2 linked regions of the Sus scrofa genome follow. The main gene of each other region encodes a partner of the protein of the gene in region 2 in a complex. Links are inferred from orthologs where the notes say so. Each region holds a gene or a part of one and is shown on either strand. Other genes may lie near its edges. The genes, in order: GLMP and MFSD1.

What was found.
Region 1: the proteins of MFSD1 (region 2) and GLMP are in contact, whole or in part, in a cryo-EM structure (PDB 8R8Q), measured with the Mus musculus proteins. The link is inferred for Sus scrofa from reciprocal best matches to the Homo sapiens genes MFSD1 and GLMP. Residues at the interface, in NP_080089.1 of Mus musculus: Val288, Glu292, Lys293, Arg295, Phe349, Phe351, Leu411, Asp412, Lys414, Gly415, Tyr416, Leu417, Leu418, Val421, Ile424, Ser428, Leu432, Val435, Leu439; in NP_064387.1 of Mus musculus: Glu250, Asn252, Ser253, Ile254, Asp255, Asp256, Glu257, Pro260, Ala261, Phe263, Gln264, Arg292, Phe364, Leu367, Val368, Ile371, Met372, Ala375, Ala378, Leu381, Met382, Gly385, Phe389.

The regions. Positions count from the first base shown.
Region 1 is NC_010446.5:93,755,864-93,762,905, forward strand, and holds the start of GLMP (glycosylated lysosomal membrane protein), read left to right. Parts: upstream 1-3,075; 5' UTR 3,076-3,118; coding exon 3,119-3,238; intron 3,239-3,730; coding exon 3,731-3,988; intron 3,989-4,182; coding exon 4,183-4,383; intron 4,384-4,504; coding exon 4,505-4,723; intron 4,724-5,173; coding exon 5,174-5,430; intron 5,431-5,543; coding exon 5,544-5,709; 3' UTR 5,710-7,042. UniProt on the Homo sapiens protein: Required to protect lysosomal transporter MFSD1 from lysosomal proteolysis and for MFSD1 lysosomal localization.
Region 2 is NC_010455.5:98,596,957-98,603,382, reverse strand, and holds part of MFSD1 (major facilitator superfamily domain-containing protein 1), read right to left. Parts: intron 6,252-6,426; coding exon 6,209-6,251; intron 5,913-6,208; coding exon 5,845-5,912; intron 3,908-5,844; coding exon 3,799-3,907; intron 1-3,798. UniProt on the Homo sapiens protein: Lysosomal dipeptide uniporter that selectively exports lysine, arginine or histidine-containing dipeptides with a net positive charge from the lysosome lumen into the cytosol.

The sequences.
Region 1 (7,042 bases), on a different chromosome or scaffold from region 2:
ACTAGGAACCATGAGGTTGCGGGTTCGATCCCTGCCCTTGCTCAGTGGGTTAACGATCCGGCGTTGCTGTGAGCTGTGGTGTAGGTTGCAGAAGTGGCTCGGATCCCGCGTTGCTGTGGCTCTGGCGTAGGCCGGTGGCTACAGCTCCAATTCGACCCCTAGCCTGGGAACCTCCATATGCCGCGGGAGCGGCCCAAGAAATAGCAACAATAACAACAACAACAACAACAACAAAAAAGACAAAAAAAATAATAAAATATATATATATATATATATATATATATATATATATACTTAGTGCGGAGTTCCCGTCGTGGCACAGCAGAAACAAAACCAGGAACCATGAGCTTGTGGGTTCGGTCCCTGACCTCTCTGGGTTGAGGATCCAGTGTTGCTATGAGCTGTGTAGGTTGCAGATGGGGCTCAGATCTAGCATTGCTGTGGCTGTGGTGTAGGCTGGCAGCTGTAGTTCTGATTAAACCCCTAGCCAGGGAACCTCCATATGTCACAGGTGGGGCCCTAAAGAGACAAAAAGACACACAGACGCACGCTTAGTGGAGTTCCCATCGTGGCTCAGCAGAAACGAATCTGAGTAGCATCCATGAGGACACAGATTCGATCCCTGGCCTCACTCAGTGGGTTAAGGATCCGGCGTCATGATCTGTGGTGTAGGTCGCTCTAATTTGATCCCTAGCCTGGGAACTTCCATGTGCCCTGGGTTCTGCCCAAAAAAGACAGACACACACCCAAAATATACTTAGAGTGGAGAAAAAATAATAGGTGTAATGTCAGAAGATTTACGTGGCAAAAAGATAAAAGGAAGATGTTTGTAACAACACAAAAATTGATTTCCTTGAACTTTTAGGACTTCGCAGTTAAGAAGATAGGGCCTCAGAAAAATAGCTTCAGAGAAACGAAAATAAATGACTAAAGGAGTTCTCTCATTGTGGTGCAGCAAAAATAAGTCTGACCAGTATCCATGAGGATGCGAGTTTGATCCCTGACCTCACTCAGTGGGTTTAAGGATTGCCAGATCTGTGGTGTAGCCATACCTTTCTGTGGTGTAGGTTGGAAATGAGGCTCAAGTCCTGCATTGCTATGGCTCTGGCGTAGGCCAGTAGCTGCAGCTCAGATTCAACCTCTAGCCTGGGAACTTACGCATGCCGCTAGTGCTGCCCTAAAAAAGAGACTAAAACATAAAATGTTTAACCTTACAGGGAAATGAGTTTTTAGAAAGCACTTACTTTCCAGGATGTGGGGGATATGGACCCTCAAACATGGTGTGAGTATTAATTGATGAACCCCATAGAGGGCAATTTGAGCAATTCTACTCCTGGGTACTTAACCTATAGATTTGGTTGCAAATATGTATGAAATGCTGTTCATAAAAATACATTCCTTCCAGTGTTCTTTGCCACAAGAAAGTGTTGCAAACTATCAAGGCTCTGGCTAAATATATTCAGGGAACATTTTCCCCTGCAATGAAAGACTGGAGAATAAGGCAGCTCCAAGTGCATTGATACAGAGCAATCCTCAATATATAAGTGAAAGAGCAAACTGCAGAACAGTACTTGGATTCCAGGATACATAGTATATGTGTATACATATATGTATGTAGTATGCAATAGATATATATGCTTGAGCATTGCATAGAATGTTTTTAGGAAGGATACATAAGCTGGTAATAGCGGTTGTCTCAAGGAAGGACCCAGGTTGCAGAGGAGAAGGGGTGATAATCCTTTGGTACCTTACGAATATTATACCATGTGCATTTATTTTTAGTCAAATAATTTTAGGATTAGGCTAAAAAAAAAAACCCAAATCAAAAAGTGCATTCAGTGGAGTTCCCGTCGTGGCGCAGTGGTTAACGAATCCGACTAGGAACCATGAGGTTGTGGGTTCGATCCCTGCCCTTGCTCAGTGGGTTAACGATCCGGCGTTGCTGTGAGCTGTGGTGTAGGTTGCAGACGTGGCTCGGATCCCGCGTTGGTGTGGCTCTGGCGTAGGCCAGTGGCTACAGCTCCGATTCAACCCCTAGCCTGGGAACCTCCATATGCCGCGGGAGCGGCCCAAGAAGTAGCAACAATAACAACAACAACAACAACAAAAAGGCAAAAGACAAAAAAAAAAAAAAAAAGTGCATTCAGGAGTTCCCATCGTGGCGCAGTGGTTAACGAATCTGACTAGGAACCATGAGGTTGCGGGTTCGATCCCTGCCCCTGCTCAGTGGGTTAACAATCCGACTGTGAGCTGTGGTGTAGGTTGCAGACTCAGCTTGGATCCTGCGCTGCTGTGGCTCTGGCATAGGCCGGCAGCTACAGCTCTGATTTGACCCCTAGCCTGGGAACCTCCCATATGCCGCTGGAGTGGCCCAAGAAATGGCAAAAAGACAAAAAAAAAAAAAAGCATTTGTTTAGCCAGACATCAACTCCCTTTGAAAAATACTGCTTTCATTTTCTATTTTCTGAAGTTTCTTTTCTCAACCATAAAATTGTGAGCTCTTCCAGACAAGAATGTGCATACCTGGAAACTCAGTAAATAGTAATAATTGACAAAAAGTTCCCTCTGAGGTGTGCTATCCCCTGCCCCCACCGCCCCACATTCCTTCAAATTTCCTCTGTGCCTTCCCTGCCTCAGAGTCGTTTTGCAGATTCCATTTGAATCTTGAATCCAGACAACATGCCCACTTACAGCTTAGTTTAGTGGGACAGTTGGGTAGGAGAGGTTGGGAATATTTGGGAATATGTCTGCCAATCTAGGCCAGGATGACTTGCTTGCCAGCTCAGTTGGGGATGATGAACAATGCTTAACTTTTTTTTTTTTTTCCCTTTTTTGCCACACGGTCAGTGTGCGGAAATTCCTGGGCCAGGGATCGAACCTACGCCGCACAGCAGCAACCAGAGCCACAGCAGTGAGAACATAGGATTCTCAACGCGCTAGGCCATCAGAGAACTCTCCGCTTAACCTTTCTGATTCTATTCTCACGCAAGCCTAAATCTGAGTTAAGGGAGGCGGTCTCTTTAAGAACTGCTGTGATGGCCCCGCCCTTTAAAGAGATCAGCTGAATCTCTGAGTCATATGACCCAGCGTCTCTTCCGCCCTCTGAAGTTAGAACTGCATGGGTAGCTGTGAGGAGCCCTGCCGGGGTTGGGGGCACTATGTCCCCAGCCCCGTGCTCCTCCTGAGTCTACTTCTGACAGCAGCTCCTTTTGGCCTGCTGGGGGAGGAAACCCGCCAGGTGAGGGACTAGAGCAATCCTGTTTCAGGATGTGCTGCCTTGAAGGGTGGTTGGAATCTAGGATAACCGAGAGGTGGGGGTGGAGGGTGCTTGCATTGAGAAGAGTTTCTTCAACCCTGGGGGTGGGGACAGCCATGGATCATGGGACAGAATTGAGAAGTAGGATGTATGAGGGCTTCCTGTCTTCCCGGGAAATCTGAACTCTGACTTAGCCCTGAGTAAGCCAGATCCAGGCAAGTATTGGATTTTTTTTTTTTTTTTCTTCTCTCAGCCCTGTGTCCTTATCTCTCCACTAGAGTCAAGGCCGTTTTCTCTACCCACCTCTCCTTACAGCAGGAATCTCTTAGCTCCCACAAGCATTGCTCTTGCCTAGGCCCCAAGGTCCCACCGTTTCCCCATCATTTCCCAAGCCCCCTTCCCTGTCCCCAAACATCTGCCCTGTGTCTCTCCCTGATCCTGTTCCCTTGACCCTCCCACTACTCCATGTTCTAGGTGTCTCTGGAGGTCATCTCTGACGGGCTGGACCCTCCCCAGAACCTGCTTCATATCCATGCAGTGGGTACCAACTCCACACTGCACTATGTGTGGAGCAGCCTAGGGCCCCCAGCAGTGCTACTAGTGGCCACCAATACCCCCCACAGCACCCTGCGTGTGAACTGGAGCCTCCTGATCTCCTCTGACCCTGAAGGGAGCTTGATGGTGCTCCCCAAAGACAGCATCCAATTTTCTTCTGCCGTTGTCTTTACCAGGGTGAGGAGGTTGGGGGAAACCGAAGGGAATCAGTACAGAGGAGAGACTTCATTTGAGTTAGAGAAACTGAAGACTGGGGGTAGATGAAATAGAGGTATGAGAGCCGGGGGTGGGGGGCAGTGACTTGGGGGGTGGTGACTCAGGAGAAACCTGGACTCTGGCAAGCCCAGTCCCTCCTCACCCCCACCCGCCAGCTGTTTGAATTTGACAGCACCAACACATCCGATGCAGTGACAAAGCCTCCAAGAAAATCGTATCCTCCGTATTCCTTGGCTGAGTTCTCTTGGAACAACATCACTGATTCATTGGATCCTGCCACCCTGAGTGCCACATTTCGAGGCCACCCCATTCACGACCCTACCGGGGCTTTTGCCAATGGCAGCTTGGCCCTCAGGGTAAGGGTATGGGGAATCAGAACTCAAAAGGCTGGTTGATAAGGGTGGGAGTTGATGAGGGTCGCCTTCAAACACAGGTATCTGCCTGCTTCCCACGCCTCCCATGCCTCTTCCATCCTAGGTGCAGGCATTCTCCAAATCTGGCCGACCAGCACAACCCCCTCGCCTCCTGCACACAGCGGACACCTGCCAGCTAGAGGTGGCTCTGGTTGGGGCCACTCCCCGGGGAAACCGCTCCCTGTTTGGGCTGGAGGTAGCCACCTTGAGCCAGGGCCCTGACTGCCCCTCAGTGCAGGAGCAGCGCTCCATCGATGATGAATATGCACCCGCTGTCTTCCAGGTCAGGCTTCCTGCAGAGAGGTGGATGGGTGGGAGGCAAAGAGGGATCCAGTTAGGACCTCAGAGAATCATTCAACCATTTGCACTTAGCAACACTATTCAGTTCCTTGAAGTACTGGGCACTGTGGTAATGAATTTAGTCCAGTCTCTGCCCTCAGCAGAGAGGCCAGTCAGAAGGTGGTACAGTGTGACTAGTGCTCTGAAAGGTGGGATCTGCAAGGGCCTCGGGTCCCAGAGGAGAGAGCTTGTTGAGGGTTGAGGCTGGAAGAGGACTCAGTGCCATCCAGTCCAGCTCCCTTTTCTACAGGGGAGAGATTGGTGCAAACAGCCTGGGAATCCTAGAACCAGACCTAGGACTCAGGACAACTTGATGACATGGAGGCTGGGAAGGGGTAGCGGAACAGAAGGGTCAGACACCAACCTCACCCTGCCTATTTGCCTTTCTCCCCAGTTGGACCAGCTGCTGTGGGGCTCCCTCCCATCAGGCTTCGTGCAGTGGCGACCAGTGGCTTTCTCCCAGAAGCAGGGGAGCCGGGATTCAGCCATGCCCTGCCAAGCTTCCCCTCTTTACCCCACCTTGGCATACCTTCTCCCCCAGTCACCTATTGTTCGAGCCTTCTTTGGGTCCCAGAACAACTTCTGTGCCTTCAATCTAACATTTGGAGCTTCCACAGGCCCTGGCTACTGGGACCAACACTACCTCAGCTGGTGAGAGTCTGGGCCTGGGCCAAGGGTTTGGGAGGCTGAAGTGGAGGAGAGCTGGGCCTCCAGCCTTCCCTCCTAAGCCTGCTTACCTCTCCTTCTCACTCTGCTTGCTCTAGGTCCATGCTCCTGGGTGTGGGCTCCCCTCCGGTGGATGCCTTGTCCCCGCTAGTCCTGGGCATCATGGCAGTGGCCCTGGGTGCACCAGGGCTCATGCTGCTGGCAGGAGGCCTGTTTGTAATGCTGGGCCACAAGCGGCACTCAGAATACCAGTCCATAAATTGAGGCCTGCTCTCTAGAGGGAAGGACATTACTGGACCTGCCTTGTAGTCTGCAAGTTTGAGGTCTGTATTCCCAGCCAGCTGCTCCCTTTTCAGCTGCTCTTGCTTTCCTGCAGAACCTCAGAGACCAGCCTCAACTTCCTATGGACCCAGGTGGGGCATCCTTCAAACTCTGAGGAGGGGCCAGGGACAGAGTGATTGCTAGAGGGAGGGTCCCCTTGGTGTTGCCTCCCCACCCTGCCACCCCCCATTTCCCTGGAATGGGACTCACAGGCCTAGATGAGAGGCCTTCTGACTCTTTGCTGCCCTGGAGAGTATGAAATAGATGAATTTTTTCCACAGGGCTTATCTCTCAGTGTGTGAGTGCTGTTGGGCTGGTTTGGGGCTAGTTCCAGGGAATGAGAGGGCTAGGAGATGGGCGTGGAAGGCAAGTTCTTATTTGTGGCCCCATTTCCTCACCAGGCCTAGTCCTCACCCCTGCCACAGGACCAGGCTCCAGCCAGCCACTCTGCAGCATGTGGAGCTGGGAGGTTTCTGGTGCAGCCTGAGTCACACAAGGAAGTGACACTTGAGACTGGGGGGCAAACATGAAGAAAGAGTCAAGGAAGGCGGTGGTAGTCGTTTATTGTTATACACACATTCACACGGGGTTAACGTCAGCCATTATGCCTTCCATCCGCTCCCCAGCCACCAAATGTTTGGGTGCAGGCACACACACACACACACATTCTGGGACGGAGATTTCTCTGTCCACTCCTCTTCCCATGGAGAGGCATGACTTCTGGACAGTTTGGAGGTGTGAGGTTACAGGGACTTAAATGGTTGGAAGGGAGGAGGCAGCCACTCTGGGCTGGAGCAGCTGTAATCGATTTGACTGAGGCTAAGGGCCTGGGAAGGCCGGTTGTGGAAGGTCCTGAACCCAGTCCTCCAGGGAGATTTTCACCAAACATGAAAATCCTATTCGATCTGATGCCCAGTCTTTACCTTGAGGCATGGGCAATATTTCCAGTCTCCTTGAGGCACTTGGCTCAGACAACTGGCACAGAAATGGTTGAAGTTTTGGCTGTGGCTCTACTGGCTGCCTTAGAGGAGGCTGGACAGTGGAGAAGAGTCCAGCCATGGCAGGCCCTAGTGGCAGTGGTGGGAGGCTGCTCAGGAAGGGACTGTGTCTCTGCTCCTGGGCCTGGGCCTGGGCCTGTGCCCTCAGCATCCTTAAGGAACATGGCTGTCCACCTCTTTCCCTGCAAGAATGTCTGAGTCCCTACCTCATAATTATCCCAGGCTCCAAAGATGAAAGGCAGCACCCCAACTCTGGGAGAGCAGGGGACAGTCCTCGC
Region 2 (6,426 bases):
GCAAACTAAGATAAAGCCACAGTAAAGATTACTACACAAAAATGCCAATTTACAGAAAACGCTAGTATTCAAAAAGAGCACAGCTAGGACTTCCTATATCGCAAACAAAAATGAAACACAAGTTACAAAATTCACAGGGGACCCAAGACAAATATAAACCTGAGCTCAGAAAAACACAGCTTTTCTTGATATTGACACCTGAAAAAAAAAAAAAACCTCATCCTGATAGTCCTTAAGAAGACAGTAATTATACATAATATCCTCATACATTGATTCTTTCATTTAGCAGTTACTGAACCCCAATTATATGCCTGTCATTGTTCTGGCTACTGGGAATATAATAAGGAACAAAAGAGAAAAGCTTCCAGCTCTCATAAAGAGCTACCCCTTTTTAGTGGTATAGCAAAGAGGTAAAATATGTAGTCTATTAAACAGCAGTAAGCTCTTTTAAAAAACAAGGGGAAAAAATAAAGCATGGAAGGAGAATACGAAGGGGTGGAGAACTCGCTGAAAATGTGACTGTGGATTAACAGCTTGAAGGAAGCTGTGAAGCTACCCAGGGGAAGAGAACCGGCCCAGGGGAAGAGGACCGGCCGGAGAGGAGGCCACTCAGTGTACTCGAGGCAAGGAGGACAGAGACTAGAACAGTGTCAATGAAGAAGGGAGGGAATGAGATGAGGTCCCCAAAAAGGAACTGGTAGAAAGGCGGGCTATAGGTAATAAGAACTATCGGCTTTTAGTCTGTGTGAAATGGGAAGCCACTGGGGTTTTTGAGTGGAGGCATGGCACAATCCCTTGTTTTAACAGACTCACTCTGGCCACTATATTCAAAACAGACTACAAGTGGGGAGGAAGCAGAAGCAAGGACATCAGCTGGGGACTACTGCAAAAATGCAGCCAACAGAGATGTAAGTCTTGGACTGGGGGCAATGGGCATGGTGAGAAGTGCTCAGAATATGGGTATTATCTAATGGTAAAGCTAAGAGGATCTGTTAATGGAAAATATATGCAGAGTGGGAGCAGGAGCAGTAAGGAGTAGTTTAGGGTGACATCAAAGTCTCTGCCTGAGTAACTGGAAGTAAAGAACTGCCCATAACTGAGGATGAAAAACGTCAGCATAGGCTTAGGTAGGGGATGAGAGCAGGCTACCAGGAGCTAAGTTTTGGCTGTATTGAGTTTGATATGCCTTCTAGACATCCAAGCAGAAATGGCAAGGAGGGAGCTGCACACAGGGGTAAGGAATTCTGGGGAACACCTGGACCATTTAACTCCAGGAACAAAGACAGTCTATGTAAAGTTTCAAAAGTAATTAAGATTACCGAGGAAATGAGTGCCAAATGAAAAGAGAAAATTTCCACTGACCAAGCCCACCTTTACAGGCTGAGAAGATTAAGATGGAACCAACAAAAGAGGTATATGGAGCAGAGAGAAAGGCAAGAGGAGAACAATGAAACTGCAGAGTCCTGGAACCCAAGAGAAGAAATCAAGGAAGGTGGAGTGTCAACTGCGCCAAATACTATTGATAGATCAGACACTGAAGACCGAGAACTGAATGTGTCCTCGACCACACTGTCACAGCAAATACAGCAGCAAATCTCACATGGCTACTTCTCAAAAATGTGAGCCATCCGGCATTATTTAGACGAGCAATAAGGAATACATGGAGACCTACTGGAAACTTTTCTCAGTATCAATGAAAATATAAGCCCCTCAAAGACATGCTGTCTTAATAACGCTCTAATTCTAAAATGCCTAACCTGACCTGGCTTACCAAGTCTCAACAAATACTTATTGAAACAATGAGTTTTCTATAGTAACAAATTACAAAGGAAAATCAGAAGGGTGCTGGACTTCCAAATCCCAGATAAAACATGAAGAATAATAACAGTGAGAAGTCCACTGCCTGATGGGATAATGGTAACAGTTCAGGTGCCTAAAATCAGGCAAATCCACAGCTCAGCCATCAATAAAAGCTTGGCAAGGTAAAGCCCAAGCCTCTGTCATCATTCTGAATATGTTCAGGGGCAGAAGCAGTACAAAAAAGAATGAAACTCCACCTACCCCAGAATCTCATGCATCTTACAAGGACCTTCAATGAACCAACCAGATCAGAGCTGCACCGCCCTGTTTGACACACAGAGGTGGTTGGTTGCCTGAGGTCTGGTTCATTCCACATCCTCTCACCATTCCCATTACCCCACCACTGTAACCTAAAATCCTGAGATTCCTTTCTCCAAATCTAGGGCTCCTCAGAACACAGGTGAATGGATTATAGCTAGTTAATGACCACACAGGCAAGAACCTGAAGGTCACTAGTAACCACAATGTTGTCACTGAGAATGTCTTGCTCAACTTCTCCTATTTCCTTCTTTTGGAAGTTATTAGACGAGACCCACCAACTGCCTTAGACATATCTTGACTTGCACAAGATATATAATGAAGTACCCAGAACGTCCTTATGGATAAAATTTAGAAAATGTGGAACAGTACACTAGTTATCAAAGAATTACAAATTAAAATATTATTTAGGTGTTTCCTATCAATTTGCTAAATATGACTTTTTAATAATAGCCTGTACTATCAAAACTGTCATAAAAAAGGATCCACTCTCATATCCCACAGATGGGGATGTAAACCTCTGAGAAGATGAGGTGGAAATAGGTCTTAACAATCTTAAGAAACCCTCTGACTCAGTTATAATTCTATTCTTAGCAACCAAGCCTCAGGAAACAATCAGAGATACAGACAAGTTTTAAAGTGTCACAAAACAGCACTGATTTTAATAGCGGAAAATTAGAAAAAGCCTTCATGTACAAAAAACATAGAAATGTTCGCACACACAGAGAATATATATGTGCTAAATTTCATAAGATTAAACATTACACTAAAAACTTTTTGAGAAAAAAAACCTTTTTGTACTAAGTTTCTTTCTTAAAACTATGTTACAAGCATTTTCATGCCATCTATAGTCTTAGAGCCTCGATTTTTAATTGCAAGGATTTAAAAAACAAAAACAAAAACAAAAACAAACAAAAAAAAACTCTATCCATTGGCATTCAGAAGGGGGAAAAAAACCTAAGAGAGTTTGGGATGGCCAAAACACCTTCCAGGTTGCATTAATAGCATAATGTTGTTCTGCTGGGTATGCTTTGTCATGAAAAGCCATGATCATTTCCAAGTTCCAAGGTGAGTAATGGCCACTTGCAATGAAGTCCAGAGCGGTGGGAGCACCATGGTTCAGGAACTTAGACACGGCTTAGACAATCACAGGGAGGAGCATGTCTGACAAAGACCTTCAGAGTTGTCTTTATAAGCAAAGTGCTGGTGCACAGCAAGGAAATAAACATTCACTGGAGGGCAAAAGTCAGAGCAATTAGTAAAAGCAATTTATGCAAGCAGATTTCATCTCTAGGAGAGGCTGAGCTTCACAAAGTAAATTGTAGTAGACTAGCCATCTCAACACACAGCAAGCTTCTAATCACTAGAAATATGCAAGGAGAGCCCAGATGACCATATGCAAAGATTTTCATAGCAAGAATGCCAAAAATGGGTCCTCCCAAATGCTCAGATGAACTAATTAATGCTTAACTAGCCTTTTTAGTCTGTTTCCTAAGAGAAATAAGGTTAGAAATGCCTTAACTAAAATAAGGTAAGTGCTATACTCTGGCCCAGAAAAATATATAAAAAATCAAGACCTAAGTTACACACAAACACATTTCATCCTATAATCTTTAAAGGATTAACTACAAGATTCAGTTTTTTCCTTCCTATTGGCTTCATTATGTTTGTCATACTTACAATTCTAGCCATGCTAAGCTGGAGTCCAAATACCAAGTTTAATTCTTTGCCTTTAAACCAACTCACAGCATATGTATTCTGGGCAACTGCTAAGGACTCTCCACCAATCCTAAAATAAGCAAAGAAAAGTCATAGGTTTTAAAGAAATGCCACAGTTAGCAATGCAGCAAGTTCAAAATTTTGACACCCCCTCCTATCAAGGTGAGCTTGTGACTGCTTCAACCAGTAGGATATGGTGGAAGTGGAGTTTCGTGATCCCAAGGCTGGGCCATAAAAAGTGACATCTGCAAAAAGGTGGTATCTGCCCTCTCACTCAAACATTTGCACTTAGAGTCCTGAGACACCTTGTAGGAAGTCCAACTACCTCAAGTTCACTATGATGTGAGAGCTAAGCCACAAAGACAGGCCACGTTCAGGTGCTTCAGTCAGCAGTACCAGCCTTCAAGTCATCCCAGCCCAAGCTCCAGACATCAGGTGCACAGACACTCTGTCCATACTGTTCCCTGTCCAAATTCCTGACCCACGAAGTCCACAAAGTAATGGTTGTTTTATACTGCTAAGTGTGAGTCATTTAATAGACTGCAAGGATAACCATGACTGGCAATAAAAGGAGTTTGGGCTACCACATCACCATCTATGCTCTATAAAATGTTCACGTGGGAAGAGTGTCCCATACTTTGTGAAAACACAAAGATCCACACTTTTCAGGCCAAGATCTTCCTTACTCAACATTTTCCCACTTCCTCAGATTTATTTTCCTTCTGTAAGTTCTATATACTGACTTTCAGTTAGGAGCTTCAACTCCTTTGCATCCTATACTGAGCTGGCCTCATCACACTGGCCTCGCAACCCTCTTCTACTCATCCAAATCCTAAACTGATGAAAAGGCCCGCTCCATCCATGAGGCCATTTCTGACCACACATCTCTGAATCCCTTTCATATTTTCATATACATTCTCTCTCCCTCTCCTTCATTTAGAGCATTCTGAGGGGATGTCATCTATGTCTACATGTCCCTCATACCTGTGAAAAGCTTAAACAAGTTATGTCATCTGCATCCCTCTGGGCAGGAAGCCCAAGACTGAACTCAGAATGAGCTTGCTGGAGTTCCCGTTATGGCTCAGCAGTTAACTAAACCAACTCGGATCCATGAGGATGCGGGTTTGATCCTGGGCCTCACTCAGTGGGTTGGGGAATTGGTATTGCCATGGGCTGTGGTGCAGGCTGCAAAAGAGGCTCATACCTGGCATTGCTTACTGACTCACAAACTTTGAAAACCTTATGGTCTCCAAAGGAGACAGTTTGGGGGGTGGAGGGAGGCGTTGGGGTTGTGGGATGGAAATCCTATAAAACTGGATTGTGATGATCATTGTACAACTATAAATGTAATAAATTCACTGAGTAATTTTTAAAAAAAAGAAAAAAAAAAGATCTGGCGTTGCAGTGACTGTGGTGTAGGCTGACAACTATAGCTCTGACTGGACACCTAGCCTAAGAACCTCCATGTGCTGTGGGTGTGGCCTAAAAAGTAAAAAAAAAAGAGAGAGTGAGAGAGAGAAAAAAAAAGAAAAGAATGGGCTTATTTGACACAGAAATTGATTAAAAGCATTCAGTCTTTTGGTAATTTTCTTATTCAAGCCTCTTCAATGCATTTCAAAAGGACCTGCACATTACTCATTAAGAAACAGCAAAATGTTCATTATTCACAAACCCAGAAATTGATGGTCTATACTTTTCCAAGTGAGGTTTAAATCACAGTCTTCAATACAATGAAAAAGCAAAACATCAAAGAAAAATACTATTTTTTGAGAACTATTTAGTATCCAAACTCTACACAAAGTCAACTGTGACCACTTAAAATCACTGCTTACTTTAAAGGAAAATTGAGACAAATGTTAAATAGTCTTAAATATATAGCCAGATTTCAAGGATTTGAAGTAATTCTCCAGAGGATACAATAATATACTTTTTAAAATCTTTAATAAATTGACAGATGAACATGAAAACAGCAATGTGTTAGGATAAATGAAATTATGCATAACTTACCCAAACACAAACCTTCCAAGTTCCATCAGCCAAAAAGCATTAAATATTCCACCCAGAGCAAAAATAACCTATAACACAGAATATAACATAGAATCAATGAAAAATTAATTCAAGGAATTTAAGATAAATAAGTAACTTAGGGTGAAACAAATTCTACAATGGTTTTAATATTCTTTCTTAGTAAATCCGTGAAATTTAAATATTAACATTCACCTGTCTCAAGGCTTAAAATGGACTATGCATTGTGCTACCCGGGCATTTGTGAACCCTGCTTAATTAAGTTAGGCTTCCACTAAACACATCTAGTGAAATTAGACAAGAATTCAAGCCACTGTCACAATGAATATGCTTTGGCTTTTCTTACCTGTCCAATGCAAACAAAGCAACTAAAAATAATGGTGCCCCACCTGATACAGAAAAAGAAAGAGAGAATGAATTAAAAGTGTATCACCAAGTCCTTCAGTAATAATTCACTTTGGGTTTTTCTGACCCTCTCTACATTCCCTCCACAGAAGTAAAAATGAGGTGCTGGTCAGCCTCTGAAGTCAGCAGATTTCCTAGGCTGAATGCTAATCACAGAAT